Linked DNA regions of Canis lupus familiaris. The protein of the gene in region 2 purifies or fractionates together with the protein of the main gene of each other region. This does not show direct contact. Links are inferred from orthologs where the notes say so. Each region holds a gene or a part of one and is shown on either strand. Other genes may lie near its edges. The genes, in order: MAP2K3, MAP3K5, STUB1, DAXX and ARRB1.

Region 1 (4,032 bases), on a different chromosome or scaffold from region 2:
GGCATCACCCCTAGCTCAGTCCCCACTCCAGGTAAGGCCAGGCCTGGAGGAGATGCAGACTAGACAAAGGCATAACATAGGGTCCCACCAGCTGGGATGGCGGGGTGGGGGAATGGGGGACGTCCCATTAGCTCTGCTGGAGCATCAAGGACAGGAATGGGACATAAAGGAGCACGGGGGAGACCTTTGGAGATACACAGTCCTGGATAGAGACATAGCTGCACCTGTCACAGCTGTATGAGCTCAGGCAAGGCACTGACCATCTCCAAGCCTCAATTTCCTCATCTGTAAATGGGGCTTCGAGGAATAAATGGGAGAGCACATGGAACATGGAAAAAAGCTTGATAAGTGGCAGCTCTCAGATTTTTTGGTGAGGGGGTGTCATGGCTCCCCACCATATCTTTCCACAGACCCTAAAGAGGCTGATAAGGTCCCTGAGCTTTGCAGAAGTACCTGTCCCTCCATCTAACCCACACACTATCAGGTATTACCTGGACCCACAAACTGGAAATTCATCTTGTTAATCTCTGCAGAGAGGCTCAGAGAGGGCAACACCAGGATTCAAGTCACACAGCACACAGGAATCAAGCAGTGCCTCCCCCAAGTTCCTTTTCCCTTCACACCTTTGACCCCTCTCCCTTCACAACTCTACAACTTTTATTGTGATGAGGTATTCCCTGCCTGGAAGCAGCTGAACGAGCATCTGAGCATCGGAAGACAAACACTGCTTCCAACTGTGTCCTTCTGCCCATGAAAACACTGTGGCCCAGAGAAGTTGAGGGACCTGCTGGAAGTCCCATGGCACTGACCAAGCCAGGCAGAGACCCCACACTAGACAAAAGAAGTGTCTGGGGTCCTAGTTCTCCAAAATGGCAAAGCATATGATTTCCCAGTTCCCAAGCTCCACGAGGTCCGTGCAGGCCAAGTCCCTCCCCGGCCACCTCCCCCCTTGAGTGCCTCCTGAGTTACTCACAGTGGTTGGGCAATGGTCAGGGATCCGGCCTCCCACTTACGTAAGACGTAATTATCCTGCCCACCAGGCCGGCCAGGCTCTGGCTAACAGCCACCGCAGCCACAGGCAGCAGGGGTAGAGATGGACCCACACCCTCCCTGGGACCCCTCAGCCCTCCTGCTGCCTGAGCCCCTCTAGAGAAACAGAGGTAGGATCAAGCCCTGAGTAGAGGCCCACTGAGTGACATCAGTTACCTTTCTCCACCTCACTCTGCAGCTGCAATGCAAACAGAGCCAAGGCCTTGACCCCACATGGCTGAGGAGAACGGTAACAAGGTGTGGGCAATTATTGTCCCTGGCTCAGCACCTACTGTGTGCCAGGCATCATGCTGCACTCTTCTCCTCGCCCATGCTTGCATGAAACTCTTTAGTATTTGCTACCTCATATCATACCCAGCAATCCACACAAGGTATGTGTGATTACTTCCATTTTACAGATAAGGAAACTGAGGCCCAGAGATACTCCTGCTGTTGGGGTGAGGAAGAGGCAGGTTTAGAGGCCCAAGGGGCAGCCCATTCATTACAGCTATGTCCGGTTTGGAAATCTCACACAGCCTAGCCTGCTGAGGCTCTGACGTGCCAAAAACATCCTTTCCTCTTCCCCATGCACGCGCACACACACACACACACACACACACACACAAAATCCCCCTTTCACCCTCCAAGTTTCACCCCCCTCCCCCCCCTGCCCCGCATGACAAATCCTGCCGCTTTGACGCTGCAGCCGCCACCTCACAAAAATTTCCAGGAAGGCCAGCTACTTGGAGAAGACTAAAGTGAGCCCATTGCACAGCCAGCACCCTGGCCTAGCGGCTGACCCAGAACTCAGAGGCAGCAGGGACAAGTCCAGTATCCATTAACCCTGGAGATACAGGGGAGCAAAAGGGGGTGAGCTCCCCAAGTGCAGAGAGAAGCTTGCAAGTCAAGACAAGGAGAAGCTGATGGAGAGGGGGCTTGTGTTAGCGTGGGGTGGAAGGCCAAGAGAGGTTCCTGGGGGACAAGGCTGCAGGGCTGCAAGCTGGCCAGGGATGGGGCCTATGTGGATGGAGAGAGTTGGGGAAGAGGAGTGAGTTCTTGGCTGGAGTGTAGCCAGGGCACCCACATGGGGAGCGGGGGGTGTACAGTGAGATTCCCCCCCGCAAAGCAGCACTGCTGGGGCTCAGATGGGGAGTCATTTAAATCCCAGCGTGGATACAGCCCTGGGACCAGGGGAGTGGAAGGGGGCCCTGGGTGCAGGATCCGAGTGATTCCCACCTGGATCCAGCAGAAGGACCCAGACGGGGAGAATTCCTGTTCTGGGTGCAGTTAAGGCCTAAATGAGGAGGTCAGAGTGAGGTTTCTGACCTGGAGCGGGGTCACCGGAACGAGATCGGGTCTGATCTGAGTGCAGTCCCCAGGCCCGAACGGGGCGGGGGAGGGGGGGGTCCAGGTGAGGTCCAGGCTGAGATCGAGACCCGAATGGGGAAGGATTCCGAGCCGCAGTGCTGCCCGGGTCCCGGACGGGGGTTGCAACAGGGTCCCACAGACAGCCTGGGGTTCGTGGTCCGGGCGCGACCGGGGAGCCGCGCTCCCCCCGGGCATTCCTACCTTTGGTCTGGGGCATGCTAGCGGGCTGACTGGAGGCGGGGGACTCCATGGTGCAGGCGGGTCCAGGAGCGGTGGCAGGAACTAATCTAGAGGGCGGCGGGCTCCCCCCGGGTGGAGAGCGCTCATGGCTGCGGGCAGGGGGCCCGGGCGCGGCGGCGGTGCGCAGGCGGGGGCGGCGAGAGCGCGTCCGCGACGGGCGGTGCCGGAGCCAGACTGGGCAGCGCCGCGGGGGCCCCGGCCGGACGGCGCCGACGACAGCCCCGCCCCCGCGCGCCGATTGGCCCGCCAGTCTCCGGGGCCCGTCCCCTGCCTATCAGAGGCCGGCCCGGCGTGCCCGTCAAGCGCCCGCCTCGCCCCTCCCGCCCCGCACCCGGCTCCTCCCACTGCCTGTCGAGCCCCGCCCTCCAGCCGGGAAACCCGGGCCCCCTCGGGGCCAGCGCCGGCCCCTCCCGCCGCCTGTCAAGACGCAAGCCCCGCCCACTGCCCGGGATTGGCCGAGCCCGGCTCGCGCCCTCAGGCACCAGGCCCCGCCCCGCCTTCCCCGCCCCGCCCCGCCCCGCCCCGCAGCGCCCGGCCGGTGAGCTCCGCGGGCACGGCTGGGTGTGTGGCGTCCCCTGGGACAATCCCCTGGTATCCCAGGGTGGCGGGGCTGGGGGACGGGGGGTTAGAGTGCGCCCCCGGGGCGAGCCCTGCGTCCGGATCCCTACCTGGCCACTCTCCAGCGCCCGTGACCTTGGGCAAGCCAGGGAGCCCCTGGAGCCCAGCTCGGTCTTTGCCTCTGTGGGAAGGAGACCAGAAGGGCCCGGCCTCCCGGCGCTGCGCGGGGGAACCGGGCGGCCCTTGCAGGCAGTCCTGGGGGACCCAGTGTTGTCAAGGGCTTAGGCACAGTGCCCGGGGTCCGCACCTCTCTTCCCTGCCTCTGCAAACCTCCTCTGAGCGCCCGCCGGGGGTCAGGCACCGGGGAAGGGGTGGGTCACAGTGGGGGACTACCTACCGGGAAGCCAGTACATGTAGCGCTAGGGGTTGGGTCTTCAAGGTCCCTCCTCTACACGGGAGACGGAGTCTCAGGGGGAGTAAGGTGGGCCTTTGGTTCTCTTCTCCTCTGCCCTCCGGGCCTCCTTCTGGACATACAGACTGCATAGCATGTAATAGCCACCCAGGCCAGTCCTCCCTTCTCCCCTGTGGAGTCTAGGGGGATTTTAGGAGCCACCGAGCAATCTGGCCTGGGGATCAGGTGACTCAGATGCAAAGCTATGGGCTAGCGAGGGCAGGAAGCGCCTGGCAGAGGTCAACGGGTCAGCCCCTCGCCTCTGGGCAGGCATGAGTGTGCTGCCTGCCAGGGACCTCACGTGAGGGAAGCAGATTCCACCACCTGCTAGAAATGCTTGGAGCGGGGAGCTGACCTCTGCTTGCCCATTAGTAAAAAGGGGTGAT
Region 2 (4,203 bases):
ATATTTACCATCTGGCCCTTCCCAGAAAACTGTTTCCCTGGTGGAGGAGGAGCAAGCGCTCCCTCTGAAATCAGAAGAAAAGTTCTACTACCATCCAAGTTGGCAGCCGTCAGTTGAGAAAAACAAAGGATTTGGACAAAACATACCATCTTCATTTGGTCACATCTTCAGACTCAATGACAGGGCTCAGAGTTCATTACCATGAGCATAAGTAGGGGTTAAACTGGGGCCTGCTCAGGTTGAATGAAGCAATGGATGGGAGAGAGATGGCTCAGAATGGCTCAGAAACGAGTCTTCCCAAAGTGTCCTCCCCATGATTCACGCTGCACCTCAATGGCTCACCAGGTCCCCGCCAGCTCTCTATCACATGATTCCAAGATAGAGTAAATCAGCCCAGCTAAATGGAGGCAGCAGCAAAGATGACCTTTTAGAGTCAGCCACCTGAAATGGAACCCTGCATTGATCAGTTACTACCTGTAAGTCTAGGCCAGTTATAAAGTCCTTGGTTTCCTCATCTGAGAAGAATAAGAAGTACTTCCTTAATGGGCTTGTTTGGGGGATTAAAGATACAGTTCAAATGTCGGTCCCCTTGTAGTCTTCCTTTGTCTCTTTCCCACAAACAGTTATTTGGAGAACAAACAGTAACTGTGCCATGTTAGGAAACTATCTTCCAAATTAGCCTAGAGTTTAAGATTTTTTATTTTTTTAGAGTCCTATAAAAAATACAGAATCTATCAGAGCAATAAAAATAGGCTCAGTATTTGCTTGGGTGTTTTCCTCACATATCTTTCAGTTCTTTGAAGTTTCTTCCAAACTATAATCCAAAAATAAGAGTGCTATAATTTTTAGAAAAGTTACATTTATGCAATTTTTATAGCAAGCCACACAAAAAACTGAGCTATAATATATCATACTCAGGTTCAGTTCTGAAGACCAAGACTGTAAAAAAAATACCAGCACCAGAAAGCCCTGGTTTATTTAGTCTGACTTCTTTAACATGAAGTTCTTCTGGTTCTTAAAAATATTCAGTTTTGGCTGAATTCCAAAGCTGACATAAGCCTACTTCAGGTGTTTTGAAGAGACTGAAGAGAATCAGAACTGAAAGCAAGTTTGGAATATAAAACCTTTTACGTGATCACAAATGCAAGAATCTTATTGTTTGAAACCACTGTTAAATTTTCCGCCCACACTTAGAAAAAATAAATACATGTATGTTCTCATATTTGGTTGTACAGGGTACTAAAGGTTAACTTCAATAGCATGTTAATATTATTCCCAACTTTAGCAAGCAAATAGCTAATTGCATCAATCACTAGAACTGCAATGACAGTTTCTGAAATATGTGATACTTGAAAAGATAACTTTTTTATGGATTACATTGGCACTCTATTTTTTTAATTTTACATTTTATTTATTCTTTTAAGATTTTATTTATTTATTCAGAGACACAGAGACAGGGAGAGGCAGAGACACAGGCAGAGGGAGAAGCAGGTTCCACGCAGAGAGCCTGACGTGGGACTCGATCCAGGGTCTCCAGGATCACGCCCCGGGCTGCAGGCGGCGCTAAACCGCTGCGCCACCGGGGCTGGTGGCACTCCCTTTAAACAAACTAATTTTTAGTTATTAAAATAGTAAATATTTTAAACAATGTTAAATTATGTACTTTCCAGCTCATTGTGGTATATGGGGTAATAATATTCTCCCACCAAAATCCTAACAAAGACACCACGAAAGTTTAGTTCAAGTGACAAGGTTACTGCTTTTGGAAGTAATTCCTTAGAAGTTCAAATCGGTTAAGACTAGAACATCCAAGCTACTAAATATGTTCGAGTGAAAGGACTTGGGAAGATCACGACACGACATGCAAATGCGTATAGATAGACTCTGAGAGCAGCGGGCTGCGTGGTTCCTGTTCTCCCAACACCACACAGAGAAAAAATGAAAGCGTCATCTAAAATAGTCACAGGTGTATATATAGAAGGGAGAAATGGGCCAAACCTAGCAAAAGAGAAACCAAGACCCCAAATGGACAAAGGCTGATGGGGCCACTATCTCGCACTACTTTAGAAGTGAAAAGTTCTTGAGGAGGGGCCTCCGGACCGGCTCCAGCGCGGGCCGGCGGGTGACCCAGTCGGTCTAGCACAAGTACACAGGATCTTGCACCCGCACCCACTCTTCCCCGGGGGCAGCGAGCGCCCGGAGCAGTCACGCAGCGCCGCTCGCTGCCCCTAAGGTGGGGCAAGAAGTGGGTAAGGAGGAAGCACGCCTGCCGCCTAGGAAAACCTTGCCCCGCTGCGGGCGGCCAGGGAGAACGTGGCCCCTGACCGTGGAGGACGCGGAAGGGGCTGCACACGCACCTGCGTTGTAAAAGCGGTCCAGCACCGTGGTTTCCCCGAAGTCCAGTTTGCCAAAATGCAGGGTCTCCAGGGTGGCGCCCACCGTCTCGCACGCCTCCCGCAGGCTCTGCAGGGCCTCGCTCTCGGCCACCACCAGCTGCCCCTGGCTCGCTTCGTTGATCACATAAGCCACCGTGGTCCGTCGGCCGCCTCCGCCACCAGAGCTGCCCCGGCACCGGGTGGCGCTGCTCGCAGAGGTGGCAGCCGGACAGCCGGCGCCCGGGGCGGCGGCACTCTCCACGTTCCAGAAGCTGCCCGGCGGCGGCGGTGGTAGTTGGCTCTCCGGGCCCTCGGCCGGCGCCGCCGCTCCTCCCCTCCGGCAGCTGCCGCCCTCGGCGAAGGGTGGCACGGAGAAAGTGATGCCCTCGCCCGCCTCGGCGCTCATCTCTCCCGGCCGGGCTGCGGCGGCGGCGGCGGCGGCGTCCCCCCCCAGCCCAGCCGCACCGTCTGGCCAGCCACAGCTCCGGGCTGCTCCGCGCGCGCCGGGCTAAGCAGCTGCCATCGCGCGTCGCGCCCTCCGCACCGCGCCGCCGCCTCCTCTCCGGCGCCCTCTCTCCCGGGGGCACGCCGCTACCCGGCGGCGGCTCGCCCCTCCTCGGCGCCTCCGTGGCCGCGCCGCTCGCCCGAGGCAGGGTGTAGAGTACGAGCGGTGGGGACGCCAGGGTGAGCGGGAAGGGACCGCGCTTCCTTCTGCTGCCGGCAGACAAGTCGGCTCGCGAGCCCGCGCCGCCGTGCAGCTCAAGGGCGCCGCGCTCGCCGTGCGGAGCGCCCTGGCCCCCCGGAGCGCGGCTCCCGCTCCTTGCGTGCCGGGCGCTGGGAGGGGCCGGGGAGGGCGCCCGCTGGGTGGGGAGCTACCTGGCCAGCACCTCTCGGGCGAGCAGGCTCCCCGGGCTGCGTCCCGGAACAGCAGCCGCCGCAGCCGAAAGGACCCGCCTCCCTCCTCGGCGGCAGCTCCCCTTCATGGGCTCTAGTTCCTCCTCCTCCCCTGGCCTCGTTTCTCGCCCGAGCGCGCCGCGGCCGCTGCGTCCCAGCGCCAGCCTCGCCGCTGGGTCTCGCCGCTCCCCGCAGCCGCTCGCCCAGGGGGCCACCGGCTTCTGCCGCCCACTCGTCGCGGCCCCGAGAGTCAGGGCCCGCCCCGGGGGAGGGCGCTGCTGGGAAGCTGGAGCCGGGACGAAACCGGCCGCGCCGCGGCTCCCGGACCTCGGCCAGGCCCCGGGCTCGGCGCGGGGCGGGAGTGCTCCGCCGTCACCCACCGGACCCCCACCTAAGAAGACCCGGAGTCGGCCAAAGCCTGGAGCGCGCGCGAAGGCAGCACGGCGCACGAAAAAGAAAAAAAAGAAAAAAAAAGTCTCTCCGGAGAACACTCGGGGCTCCGGAGCTATCGGGAGGCTCTCGCCCCGGTCCCCGCAGCCAGGGCGCCCCCGTCCGGCGCCTGGCGGCCTCGCCCTGCGCGCGGTCTGGTTCGGCGCGCGGCGCTCCAGCGCTGGGCTGCGCCGAGGGGCCTGCGTTGCGCAAGGCCGGAGGATTTCCTCTAGCGCCCCGCCGCGGGGGCCTATATTGGACGGCAACGGGCGATCGATTCCCGACCGTGGCTGGCACAACTTATCAGGTCGGCCTCCGCTACTTTCCATTAAAAAAAAAATTGCACTGGCAATGTTATCGTTAATGAGTAATTGACTAGGCCTAACTGCTGAACGACTGAAGCACTCTCATTTAGGTTCTTAAAAGGTACCCCCTCCCGCGCACGCGGTGTCCTATGCTTTCAGGAGACAGAATAAGGGATCTATACCCCACTCCGCAAAGCATC
Region 3 (4,057 bases), on a different chromosome or scaffold from region 2:
CGGGGCTGCGGCTTGGGGCTTACTGCCTGCCAACATGGAGTGACGGGCTGATCTCACCCTCAGCGCTGGTTCCTGTATCCCCCTGAGAAGACACCTGAGTTCCACCCCAACAAAACCACACTGGCCTGGCTTCAGGACGTGTACCCAACCCTGGCACCATCTGAGAGGCCCCTGGAGTGCACCGTGCAGGCTGGTGAGGTCAGTAGGTGGCAGGAAGGGGTCAGGCTGGATCACACGCCACCAGCTAATCCTTGTGCCCCACCCTCCACCAGGTGCTGTATTTCCCTGACCGGTGGTGGCATGCTACGCTCAACCTGGACACCAGTGTTTTTATCTCTACTTTCCTCGGCTAGGTAGAGTGGGCGGCTGGTGAGCCCAGCACACACCAGCACACACCCCTATAGTGCTCACAGGTTTTATTACAGGACAGTGGTGGCAGCAGCCCACCCTCACCTGCTGTTTCTGGCCCAGAAGGGGGTGGAGGTGGGGCTCATGGTCCAGCAGCAGAACTGATGAGGGTGGGATAAGGGACACCAGGGCAGGGATCTAGGGACACAAACTATGTACAGGAACTGGGAGCTACTGCCCCAAAGCCCACCTGGGCCAGGGTACTAGGCAAGGCAGGCAGCTCTGGCACTCGCCTGGCCTCAGTAGTCCTCCACCCAGCCGTTCTCGGAGATGAATGCATCAATGACCTCTTTCATGGCCAGGTTGGGGATGAGCTGTTCCTGGGTCAGGGGGCTCCGGGTGACAGGGTCAAAGTGGCCCACACGCTGCAGTGTGCAGTGACAGCAGGTCAGAAAGTGCTCAGTGGTTACGGGCCCTGCTCCCCACTCTTGTTGGCTCTCACCTGCAGGTGTTCCTCAATGTCCTTGCGGTCGTAGGTGATGCCACTAGGCGTGATGCACGGCTCCCGCATAAGCTCGAAGCTGATCTTGCCACACAGGTAGTCCGGGATGTCTCGCTTCTGTGGCACATGGAGTCAGGTCAGGCACCAGGATGGGGACCCGGCTCCGATTCCTGCTACCCAGAGGACAGACAGCTTACCTTTCTCTTCTCGTCCACCTGGGAGAAAAGCTCATCCATGTCTGCTAAGTACTTGTCCTGCGGAGAACCAAGCAGCTACGCGTGGGCCAAATGCCCCTTCCCCCTCCCCCGGGCACCCTCCAGTCACAGGCACGCAAACACGCACACATCCACACGTGGGCTGGGGCACCCTCACGTGCTTGGCCTCGATGCAGGCCTGCTGGGCCCGGACGTGGCCATCATCCTCATCACCCTCGTGGTTCCGCTGGCATTCTTCTAGCTCCCTGGGGGTCGACCAGGAGCTAGTCAGGAATGGGTCTGGCCAGAAGAGATCACACTCCACCCCAACCTCAGGCTTGTTCAGGTCTCTCTTCCCTCCAACTGCTCGCCAGTGCTGGCCTTCAATAAACACTTGTGTTCTTGACTCAGTTAACCCCAGAGTGCTGCCTTGGGGGTGGGTGGGGCCCTGGAGCCTGCCGCTACCACAGCCCACCTCTCCCGCTCGGCCACAATAAGCCGAGTGAGGTAGGAGTGCAGCTCATTCTCCTGGTGGATGCGCCGCTCCTCGATGCTGTTCCAACGCTTCTTCTTGGCGATGCGCAGAGCACTAGGGATATCATCCCCGAAGTTGAGCCGCTGCTCCTTGGCAAGGTTGTAGGCTGGGGGAACAGGGGCTTCAGGTCACCTTCTGGCCAGTCCATCCACCTGGTCCCAGGCGCCCCCGCCGTCCCCTGACAACCTGTAGGCCCACCTCGCTGCAGGTTGGCGATGGCCTCATCATAGCTCTCCATCTCTAGCTGGCACTGCCCCAGGAAGAAGTGTGCCTTCACAGACTGCCCGTCCAGTTCCAGAGCCCGCCGGCAGTCAGCCAGGGCCTGCTCATGCTGCTGCATCTTCAGATAGCACAACGCCCGGTTGGTGTAGTACACGGCCACCAGAGGATTCCGGGTCTGGGGACCAAGGCCAGGCCAGCCAGCATGAGGGAAAAAGCTCCGTGGGCCCTGTCCTAGGCCCTGTCCTGGTCTGGGAGCCCGTAGCTAAAATCCAGACACTAGAAATTTCTCAGCTTGGAAGCCTCTGCTCAGCTAGGGCTGTAGAGTGAACTCCCGGTCCTCAGGCCTGCGCTAGCCCACCCTCTCGGGGCTCCCAGGAGGTTTTGTAAAGGTGAGGTTCCCGGACCTGAGGAGAGCCCCAGCTTCGGGCCTGGGCTTCTCAAGGGACAGGAACCCTGGTCCCGGCCTGGGGCCTCGAGCACCCCTCAAGCTCCCACCCGCCCCTCCAGCAACCAGCACTGGCTCGAGAACCGCGCGGCCTTGGCTCGACTGGAACATGATCAGCACCGAGTTCTCGGGGCCCAAACGCCCCCGCGGGCGAACCAAGACCGCCCCGAGGGTCCGGCGGGAGCGGCGGGGCAGGGGCTCCGGGGAGGACGCGGGGCCGCGAGCCGGGCCCCGCCCACTCCCCCGCCCGGACGCCGGCCCCCTCCCCCGGCGCGGGCGCACTCACGATGGCGCGGCCGTAGCAGGCCGCCGCCTCCGGGTACTTGCGGCCCACGAAGAGCCGGTTGCCCTGCTCCTTGAGCTCCTGCGCGCTCGGGCTCTTTTCGGGGCTTCCGCCGCCGGCGCCCAGCCGCGCGCCGCCCTCCTTCTCCTCCTTGCCCTTCATAGCGCCGCGCGGCACAGCCCGGGCTTCGCTCCCAGGCTCCGCGTCTGGCCCGCCCTGCGCCCGCAGCCCGAGCCCGCAGCCCGAGCCCGCGATCCGCTCGGGCCCGGTCCAGCGATCCGCCACCGGAACTTCCGGCCGCGCGGGGCGGGGCCAGCGGCACGGGCGGGGGCGCGCCTGCGTCCGACGGGCCGCGGAGGCAAGGGGGGGCGGGACCGACTGGGCGCATGCGCTCGAGGGAACGCGACCCGCGACGTCGGACGTCCGGGACAGCGACAAGCGCGGCCCCGCCCCGCCGAGGCCCCGCCCCGCCTAGGCCCCGCCCCGCCGAGGCCCCGCCCCGCGCGGACTAGGCGGCCGCCGGCTGGCTGCGCGGCCGTGGGGCCTTGAGGGCCGCGGGGCTGCGGTCCTGGCGCCGCACGGGGAGGTGCCGCGGCCGCCAGGGACGGCTGGAAGCTCTGGAGCGGTGGCAGGACGGCCGAACCCCGCTGCCCGAGGCTCCGTCGCCGCCCTCCCCAGGCCCCAGAGGGCTCCCCGCGGCCACCGGGGGCGGAGCGGAGGAGCACGTGGCCGCCGGCGTGGAAGCGGGGGGCGGGGCTCCGGGTGAGGTTCCCCCACCCACCCCGCCCAGCCCACCTCGGCCCGGCCGGTGAGTGTCGTCGCCTGCCGGGGGGCCCGTGGCCGTGACCCCGGGGGTGCGCGGGAGCCGCCTGCCCAGACGCTGGCGAGGCTCGAGCCCCGGCTGCAGGAGCTCCGAGGCCGCCGCGCGCCCGCCGCCCGCGGCCCTGGGGAGGCGGGGTGCATGCGGCAGGCAGAGCCGGCCCGAGCGCCGCATGGCCTGGGCCCGGGCCCCCGCCCCCCTCTGTCCCCGCCCGGGCGGGACCTCAGGCCCGGGACCCCTCCCCGCGTGGGACCCGCCCCAGCCTGGCCACCCGCAAGGACACCGCGCCGGCCCAGAAGCGCAGAGAAGCCAGGCTGGCTGAACCCTGCTGGGCCCGGGCCACAGGGTTCTCGGAGGGCGGGCGACCGGCTGGGCTGCAGTCTCCGCTGCCTGTGAGGACCCCAGCTCCTCGCACACCCGCCACACGCGCACGCCTGGTTTGGGTGCAGGGAGCACCGGGAGAGCTTGGGCTGCCGTGCGAGGGCCGGGCGGGCCCCTGGGGCCAGCCCCCAGAGCCCACTGCAGCCACCTCCTGCTGTGTAAAATATTTATTCATTCTCCAAAAAGGCTCAGACCGCAAGTTGTGGGGGAGAGGCAGGGGCAGGGTCTCCCTAGGGCCACACTTGGGGACCTCCACTGCCTGGCCAGGCAGTCCTATGTCCCCAGGCCTGGGAGGGGGTGGCCAGGGCTGATGTAAGGCTTGGCCTG
Region 4 (3,984 bases), on a different chromosome or scaffold from region 2:
TCTCACCCTCCTCACTCTTGTCTTGCATCATTGCATATTTGGAGATGACCTCATCCAGCCGGCTCATAGCCAAGCTCCGGTTTTCTCGCAGGCGCCGGGCTAGGGCAGGATCTGACAGTGCAGGGTCAATGCCTACATGAGAAGATATAAAGTCAGAGTACTCAGCCCAAACCCTAGAAGAAGGGACTAGAGAGATGCTCCCTCCACCAAACATCTGACATACAAGGGTTACCAGTAGGCATCTCACTAATCCCTACCTGGCCTGTAGTCATCTGTGAGGTGACAGCCAAAGTTGTAGATGAGATCAAGGTGACGTCGCTCCTGTAACCTGATGCCCACGTCTCGGAAGGCATCCTGAGCCATGAGCTGGAGCTGCTGTCGGGGAAGACCAAGGCTGTGCCGAGCAGCTGCCTTCTCCACAGCCCGCAGTACATCTCCATAGTCAGGGAAGGTATCTGGCCCTGGTTTGTTGATGAGCCGCTCAATGCGCCTGTTAACCTCTGGGTAGCGGGTGCCACGATAGGGAATGCGCTGCTCTATGACACGGCCCGTCAGGGAAGAGCAGTCTTTGAGCTCACAAAGCCGCCCAAAGAGGCGGATCAGCTTACGCTTCAACCTTGCCTCCTGCAGGTATGTGGAGTCTGGGTCGTCCAATTCTGAGAGATCCAACTCTTTTTCCTGCAGCCGCCGGATCTCTGCCACATAGAGCGCTAGCAGCTGCTCCAAGCGCTGGATCTGCCGCCGGGAACCACGGGTCCTTGGTGCCTCAGAGGCAGTGGTCTCGGCATTTGTGGGGTCCGAGGAGGGGTCTGTGGGAGGGTTATTCCCAGAGGGTTCACTAGAGGTGGCAGCAGGGGCCAGGTTCAGCTTCTTCTTGGCTGAATGGGCCTTGAGAACAGTGCAGAGCTCATTAATGTAGACATAGAGCTTAGCTGGCCGGCTCTGGGCCCGGGATAGGACCCGAGAGAGGATGTTGCAGAACTCCGCCGAAGCCAAAAACAGAGAGTGGGCACGCTGCTGCCGGTTATAGAGGAATGGGACCACCTCAGGGTGGTCTGCTGTCTGCATCTTACAGAGTTCAAGGAACTGGAGGTTTCAGGAGAAGAAGGGAGGGGGGAAGAGACAAGGGGAGGGGTTGAGAGAAAGAAGGCAAGGCGGGATTAGTGGGGAAGAAAGGACTACAGAGCCAGTCAGCCATCCCCCTCCCTGGGGCACAAGAATCTTCTCCCCTAAAGCTCACCTCTTCAAACAGCTTCTCATTCTCCAACTTGTAGCATTTCTTGCCGCCAGAACTACTGCTTCCTCCAGCCCCATGGGGCTGGGAGGAGCCAGGGGCTTCTGCCTGGGGTGAGGCCGGATTGGGGGGTGGGTGGGAGGGCCCTGGCTGAGCAGCTGCTTCATCTTCGTCATCATCATCCAGCACGATGATGCTGTTAGCGGTGGCCATGGGGGATCAAATCCCCCGGAGGAAGGAAGTGTTGGGGATTTCGGAATTCCTGCTGGAAGGGGATGGGGCCTCAGAAAGAGCCCCTCCAGCATAGCCCCTCCCTTCATCTCACACATTTTCCAATCTTCTTGGGTTTCAGTAACACCCAGCCCTGCTCAACAGTGTCCTCACTGCCTAACTTCAGCAACCACTAGTACCAGACACTTTTCTGACCTTTCACTACCTGAAACCACCTGAAAACCTTAAGTCCCCACCCCCAGCTCTACCCCTTCTGTCGAGATCCAGTTTCCCCACTATCTCTCATACTTGCCAAGTTGACTTTTCCAATCTCTCGACCACCTCCTGCACGTGTGCACTCTGGATTTCCTCGACATTCCCTCGCACAGATACCACATCCCCGTCAGCACCACCTCACCAGCCTTCCCCCTTTCGCTCTCAAACACGTCAAATCCACACCCTCATCCCATCCTGAAGGATCACCCCCAACTCCTAGACTCTCAGAGGCGAAGGAGGTTCTCTCCCAACAATCCACTCCCGTTTCCCCTCCTGGGATTATTCTCACATTCCACCCTCTGACGGGTCTCCTCAAACCGGGACGTTAGGTTGGAGAGATCTCACCTCAAGTCCCCTCCCTCTCACCCCACCCGAATTCCCCCATTCTCTCTCTGTGACCTGTAACCGATTGTGAGCCCAGTACTGAGCTCTCCGGATTCCTCTCAGATCCCAACCCCGCATCCGACCCCTTCCCCCGAATGAGCTTCCCGCCAAGTCCCCCTCCCCCAGTTCAGCCCCCGGCCGCCCCATTCCCCTTCAGGGATTGGAAGGAAGGTACCACAGCTTGCACCTCAGACTCAGCGCCTGGGACTCCCCAGTACCTCTCCCTCGACATTCCCGCCCCTGCCTTCGCTCCCCGCACGGTCCGGCCCCCACCTCAGAAACGGTCTCTCGAGGCGACCCTCGCTGCTGATCTCAGAACCTCGCAGGGTTCCCTCCGCCTTCCTTCCCCCACCCACCGCAGGCCCTTCTCTGGACCGGAAGTCGCGGAGTTTCCGCCTACGGACACCTAGACGCGGCCATATTTTCGTACGGCGCCCGGCCCCCCTGAGGCAGGAAGTGGCGGTAGGCCCGCCCCCCCGCCCAGTGCCGCCCACAGAGTATGCCGCTCTCTTTCCTATGACCAGTAGAGGGCGGGCTTGTCCCCGCAGGACGTCCCAAAGTACCTGGGGGCCGCCATCTTGCCGTACGGTACTGGCTACGCCCGAACTCGGGGGCGCCACCGACGGAGCTCTTTTCGCCCGGTGCTTCTGCGACTCCACCAATCAGAAACTTCCTGCATCCAGCCCAACCGCCGGCGGGTCGCGTGCTGGAAGGACTGAGCCACCTTTCCAAGTAGGGGAGGGGAGGACGGAACAGGACAGCTAAGGAATTGGGCCCTCCAAGACTGTGCAGGGGTGCATAGGAGAGCGAGAATCTCCTAAGAGGGAAAAAAACCCTCTTCCTTCCGCTGGGCCATTGACCAGCCTTCCGGCGCCGCTTTCCTACCTGCCAGGTACCCTTTCCGCGGCTTCATCTACTGCGCCTGCCCTTTCCTTTCTGCAGGCTGCGCGCTCCCCAGCCGCTGTCCAGCAGCTACTTCTACTTCCCCGTGCCCACACCTCCCAATAGTGAAATCATAACACATGCATACAAACGAGCACAATTCGCTACACAAATTTGTTATTATTATTATTACTATTGTTATTGACTTCGTTTTAAGCGCCTCCAAGGAACTAATGACCCACCCAGCAGGTGAGACCTAGGTGGTTCTCCGTTCCTTTCTGGTGGGGTGCCCGAGGTGCATGCAGTGATGACCTGGAGGCCGTGCCTTGTCCAGGAGCTCCAGGGCCATAGGACCGCGATGTGGGGCGGGGGCTTTGAGGAGAATCTGTGCAAATTGCCGCTGTTGGATGAAATGAGACTTGTAAAATACCTTGAGTCTCCACTGGTCTCTTCCTCTTCCTCTGGGAGAGCTGAGAAAAGAACGGGGAGACAAGAAACTGACTGACGCCCCCTCGCCCACACCCGCACCTCACCCAACTTTAAAGAGGCCGGAAGGACTCGTGGAGGCCACGTTGGGTCCAAATACGAGCTTATGGGGAAGTCACACCGGTTAACACGGAGATTCTCCTCCCCTGCGTCACATTCCACAAGTGGTGAGTATCTTGCCACTTTCTAGGACCACAGAGTACCAGAACCTCAAACCCTCACTGCCATTAAAGAATCCCACACCATATGTAAGCCTACAGTCTTCAAATTAGGGAATACGAAAACTCCCCAAAAGGGTACGCAGACTTAGGAGACATAGGAATTTAATTTACAGATTCTCGACTTTCCCAAAATTGATCTGAGTAAATGCCTGCAAGTAAAGGTTTTCTTTCTTCCGGTTCCCTTTTATAATAGACTTGCTCCCTCTTAAAAAAAAAAAAAAAATGCATGCAAGCATACCTCCTTTTATTGTGCTTCACAGATATGTGTTTTTTACAAATTGAAGATTTGCA
Region 5 (3,512 bases), on a different chromosome or scaffold from region 2:
TCGCCTCCTCGCCAGAAGACAGGGCAGGGCCTGCCTTGAGGAGGAACAGGCACGAGAGCAGGGCTGGGCAGTCTATCTCAGAAGTCAGGTCCAGCTGTTTCCAGCTGCCAGTCTGGACTGTCTGCCCAGGGCTGTGCCTCTCTAGAGAACACTACCTCTTCTGACACGTGGGCTGACCCATCCCACACCCCACTGCCGCCCCCACTACCACCTGCTGCTGATGGCTTCCCAGGAGAAGTAGGAAGTAGGGGTTCAGGGTGGCTGGAAAAAACTCTTGCTCACTCTTTAAAATGATCCAAATTTTGTGTTTCTTTCCAAAATAAAATAAAAACATGCAGTCTCATGGGGCAAGACTTGAAGCAGGGTGATGGAGGAGGCAGGTTCAGCATTGTAAAGGGAGAAATCCTGAGGCCTGAGGCCTGAGCCCTAAGCCCCAGACAGTTGAGCCACTTTCTCCAGGAACCCCTCCAGGACTTGCCAGCCTTCCAGAGGGCCCTTCTTGGAGTTTCTGGGGCTGGAATATGCGGCCCCTCCTCACACACTTCCAGGTATTGTTACTTATCTCTTCTCTGACTTTGCTGGTCTTGTCTCTCTCCCTCTGCCAGTAGGCAGCCCACACCCAGCGGAAGCTGTGCCCTTCTCACCGCTTGTGGATCTTTTCCTCCAGGTTCTCGGCACAGAAGGCTTTGACCTCGTAGTCCACACCACAGGCCTGAGGAGAAGGGGCTGCTGACCACAGGGTCCCGACAGCACAGCCATCCCACCCTCTTATTTTACAAACCAGGACCCTGGAGGGGAATAGCAAACTTCACAGGCCAACCGCCCCTCAGCCTGATTCAGGACCCTGTGATCGGCCTCAGCCCCAGTGCTGTGCTGCACCCCAACCCCACCTGGCCTTCCCACAGAGCTCCCCTAGCTCCCCCAACACTGGGTGTCCCAAACTGCCCTAACTGGGCTCCACCCTGCAGACACCTGCCTGGTCTGGGCAGCTGTCCTCATTAAGGCAGCCACTCGGCAATAACAATGGGGGTGCTCAGCAGTCCTAGGAGGGGAGCACAGACTATGTGCAGACCCAACAGTGCTCTGGTGGCTCACTCCACCCTCTAAACTGCAGGAGGAGGCATAGCCTCTCATCTCCATTTTGCAGGTGAAGACAAGGGGGCTCAGAGATCTGGGGCCTGTGACACTAGTAGTGTCACTTCTCTTGGAGCCTCCATTTCTCCACTTGTGAGACCACAGTGAATGGACCCCCATGCAAGGTTGTGAGGCCAAGAGGTAGTCCAGAGAACATTTTGGTTCTGCTGCAGCCAACAGTAAGCCCAGGAGAGACTGCATGTAATGGAATGCGGGGGTGAGGATGACACCCTATCTGCCTGCTGCCCTGTATGAAAAGAGCCGGCTTATCTGAGGCAGTGTTGAAGTGGCTTCCACACAGGGAGGCTTCCACACAGAGTTCCGATGCCTCTCAGAAAGCCAGGGCCCTGGGGATACAAATGTCCTTTACCCGGAGAGAGGCTTCCAGAGACGTGACCCACCTTCCCCGTGTCTTCAGGCCCTGGCTGCAATGTCACAGAGCACGGGAGGTTTGGAGGGATCTGTTAAGAGGACAGACAGGTCTCCTGTCACATTGACCATTGAGCTCCTCATGTTGCCCACCCACCACCCCCACACACATTTATCAGACCAGGGGGCCCTAGCAACAGGCCATGTCTCCCCCATCAGACCATGCCAAGGATGCCCCACACTGGGCCAGAAGCCCTCCAGTAAAGCCAAGGATTTCAGTGCTTTTCTTTATCTAAAGGATTTTGCCTAGGGGCATCTGGGTGGCTCAGTGGTTGACTGTCTGCCTTCGGCTAAGGTTGGGATTCTGGGGTCTGGGGATCGAGTCCCGCATTGGGCTCCCTGCATGGAGCCTGCTTCTCCCTCTGCTGTGTCTCTGCCTCTGTGTGTCTGTCATGAATAAATAAAATCTTAAAAAAAAAATTAAAATAAAGTGTTCTGCCTAGATTGTAGTAGGCAGAACAAGCCCCCCCACCCCCTCAAAGGTGCCCACCTTCTAATCCCCAGAACCTTCAACTGCTACCTTACTTGGCAAAGGGGATTTTACAGGTGTGATTAAGTTAAAACTCTTGAGATGGGGAGAGTAGCCCGAGTTATCCAGGTGTGCCCGATGTAATCACAATGGACCTTAGCAGGGAAAGCAGGAAACAGAAGAGTCGGTGTCAAAGTGGTGGGCTGCAAGAAAGACTGACCAGCCATTGCTGGCTTTGAAGACAGAGGGGTAGGCTTCAAGCTAGGGAACACAAGCAGTTTCTAGAAGCTGGAAAAGGCAAGGCCTAGAGCCTCCAGAAAGAATACAGCCCTGCTGACACTTTGATTTTAGCCCAGTGCAACCTGTTTTTTTGTTTGTTTGTTTGTTTGTTTGTTTGTTTGTTTTGACTTGTAACCTCCAAAACTGTAAGGTCAGAAACTTGTGTTTTAATGGTCACATTTAATTCCCACCAGGTTGGCAGCAGCTTGTTTGTTACAGCAGCCACAGGAAACCAATACATCTGCCATGGACAGGATGACTGTAATGTCTCTCCTCTGGTTTCCCAGAAAGCCAGGGGATTTCACTGAATCACAGAATCAGAGTCTGAGAAACAGGAAGTTTTAAAATCCAGAATCTGGGAGTCTTTCCATTTGGAAAAGTGGCAGAGCAGGGAAATCACTACATGCCATCCCTCATTAATGAGCTGCGCTGGAGCTCAGCTGGAGCTGGGCCGAAGCTGGGCATGCGGGCAGCTGGTCTGAGGGAGGAGACAGTCCTGTAGTAATTCAGAGGTGAGAAAGGGCTCCTTCTTTCTCTGCAGCCTCTGCCCACCCGGCTCTCTCCCGCCACGAGCTGGACTCGGGAGGGTCCAAGGAGTAGCTCAGAGGTAAGGTGACACCCCTGGCAGTGGCCAGAGAAGAGACACTTACCAGGAAGTATAAGTGACAGTGCCCCAGGTCCCAATGTACACTGAGAAATTGAGTGACATGGAGCTGCTGCCCCAGCTGTCCCCATGTGCTTGCCCACAGGGCTTCCTACTGGTGGTGCAGTTGGCAGTCCCTAACCTCAAAGGTGAAAGGATAGGCATGCTCGCCCAGCTTCTTGATGAGGCGCTCCTGCAGCCGTGTCAGGGGCTTCTTGTCCTCAGGGGCTGGCGGGAAGGACTGCACGTTGGCCACAAACAGATCCTTGCGAAACGTCAGGCCCAGGACATCCAGGTCCTCCCGGCCATAGCGGAAGGCGCAGGTCAGTGTCACGTAGACTGTGGGAGCAGGGGGCATGGAGGATGAGCCCAAGAGGGCAGCAAACAAGCCCCCAAGAGCACCAGCTGAGCCCTGGGATTGGCCCAACTGGAGCTCAAAGGTCTGTCCCAAAGCTCCTGTGTGGGAAGGCTGTGCAGCCCTCGGGATGGGGGTACTGGGTACCCAGGAGAACCACTCAGACCTGGCCCCTAGGGGGAGGTGAGGGCTGACTGCTGGAT

Evidence for each region.
Region 1: the proteins of MAP3K5 (region 2) and MAP2K3 purify together in Homo sapiens (co-immunoprecipitation; 4 studies listed by BioGRID and IntAct, with this or other methods). This does not show direct contact. The link is inferred for Canis lupus familiaris from reciprocal best matches to the Homo sapiens genes MAP3K5 and MAP2K3.
Region 3: the proteins of MAP3K5 (region 2) and STUB1 purify together in Homo sapiens (affinity purification with western blotting; 3 studies listed by BioGRID). This does not show direct contact. The link is inferred for Canis lupus familiaris from reciprocal best matches to the Homo sapiens genes MAP3K5 and STUB1.
Region 4: the proteins of MAP3K5 (region 2) and DAXX purify together in Homo sapiens (affinity purification with western blotting; 7 studies listed by BioGRID and IntAct, with this or other methods). This does not show direct contact. The link is inferred for Canis lupus familiaris from reciprocal best matches to the Homo sapiens genes MAP3K5 and DAXX.
Region 5: the proteins of MAP3K5 (region 2) and ARRB1 purify together in Homo sapiens (affinity purification with western blotting; 3 studies listed by BioGRID and IntAct, with this or other methods). This does not show direct contact. The link is inferred for Canis lupus familiaris from reciprocal best matches to the Homo sapiens genes MAP3K5 and ARRB1.

The regions. Positions count from the first base shown.
Region 1 is NC_049226.1:42,945,229-42,949,260, reverse strand, and holds the start of MAP2K3 (dual specificity mitogen-activated protein kinase kinase 3), read right to left. Parts: upstream 2,803-4,032; 5' UTR 2,648-2,802; coding exon 2,599-2,647; intron 1-2,598. UniProt on the Homo sapiens protein: Dual specificity kinase. Is activated by cytokines and environmental stress in vivo. Catalyzes the concomitant phosphorylation of a threonine and a tyrosine residue in the MAP kinase p38.
Region 2 is NC_049222.1:29,533,573-29,537,775, forward strand, and holds the start of MAP3K5 (mitogen-activated protein kinase kinase kinase 5), read right to left. Parts: upstream 2,801-4,203; 5' UTR 2,782-2,800; coding exon 2,358-2,781; intron 1-2,357. UniProt on the Homo sapiens protein: Serine/threonine kinase which acts as an essential component of the MAP kinase signal transduction pathway. Plays an important role in the cascades of cellular responses evoked by changes in the environment.
Region 3 is NC_049227.1:40,363,659-40,367,715, forward strand, and holds STUB1 (E3 ubiquitin-protein ligase CHIP), read right to left. Parts: upstream 2,805-4,057; 5' UTR 2,692-2,804; coding exon 2,533-2,691; intron 1,977-2,532; coding exon 1,778-1,976; intron 1,686-1,777; coding exon 1,520-1,685; intron 1,460-1,519; exon of another isoform or gene 1,311-1,459; coding exon 1,223-1,310; exon of another isoform or gene 1,105-1,222; coding exon 1,048-1,104; exon of another isoform or gene 968-1,047; coding exon 851-967; intron 774-850; coding exon 648-773; 3' UTR 400-647; downstream 1-399. Other genes in the region: JMJD8 (jmjC domain-containing protein 8), read left to right, coding at 64-198, 273-353. UniProt on the Homo sapiens protein: E3 ubiquitin-protein ligase which targets misfolded chaperone substrates towards proteasomal degradation.
Region 4 is NC_049233.1:2,912,727-2,916,710, forward strand, and holds the start of DAXX (death domain-associated protein 6), read right to left. Parts: upstream 2,807-3,984; 5' UTR 2,668-2,806; intron 2,524-2,667; exon of another isoform or gene 2,378-2,523; intron 2,372-2,377; exon of another isoform or gene 2,292-2,371; intron 1,500-2,291; 5' UTR 1,448-1,499; coding exon 1,241-1,447; intron 1,087-1,240; coding exon 258-1,086; intron 133-257; coding exon 1-132. UniProt on the Homo sapiens protein: Transcription corepressor known to repress transcriptional potential of several sumoylated transcription factors. Down-regulates basal and activated transcription.
Region 5 is NC_049242.1:23,396,179-23,399,690, reverse strand, and holds part of ARRB1 (beta-arrestin-1), read right to left. Parts: intron 3,294-3,512; coding exon 3,097-3,293; intron 1,596-3,096; coding exon 1,536-1,595; intron 713-1,535; coding exon 645-712; intron 1-644. UniProt on the Homo sapiens protein: Functions in regulating agonist-mediated G-protein coupled receptor (GPCR) signaling by mediating both receptor desensitization and resensitization processes.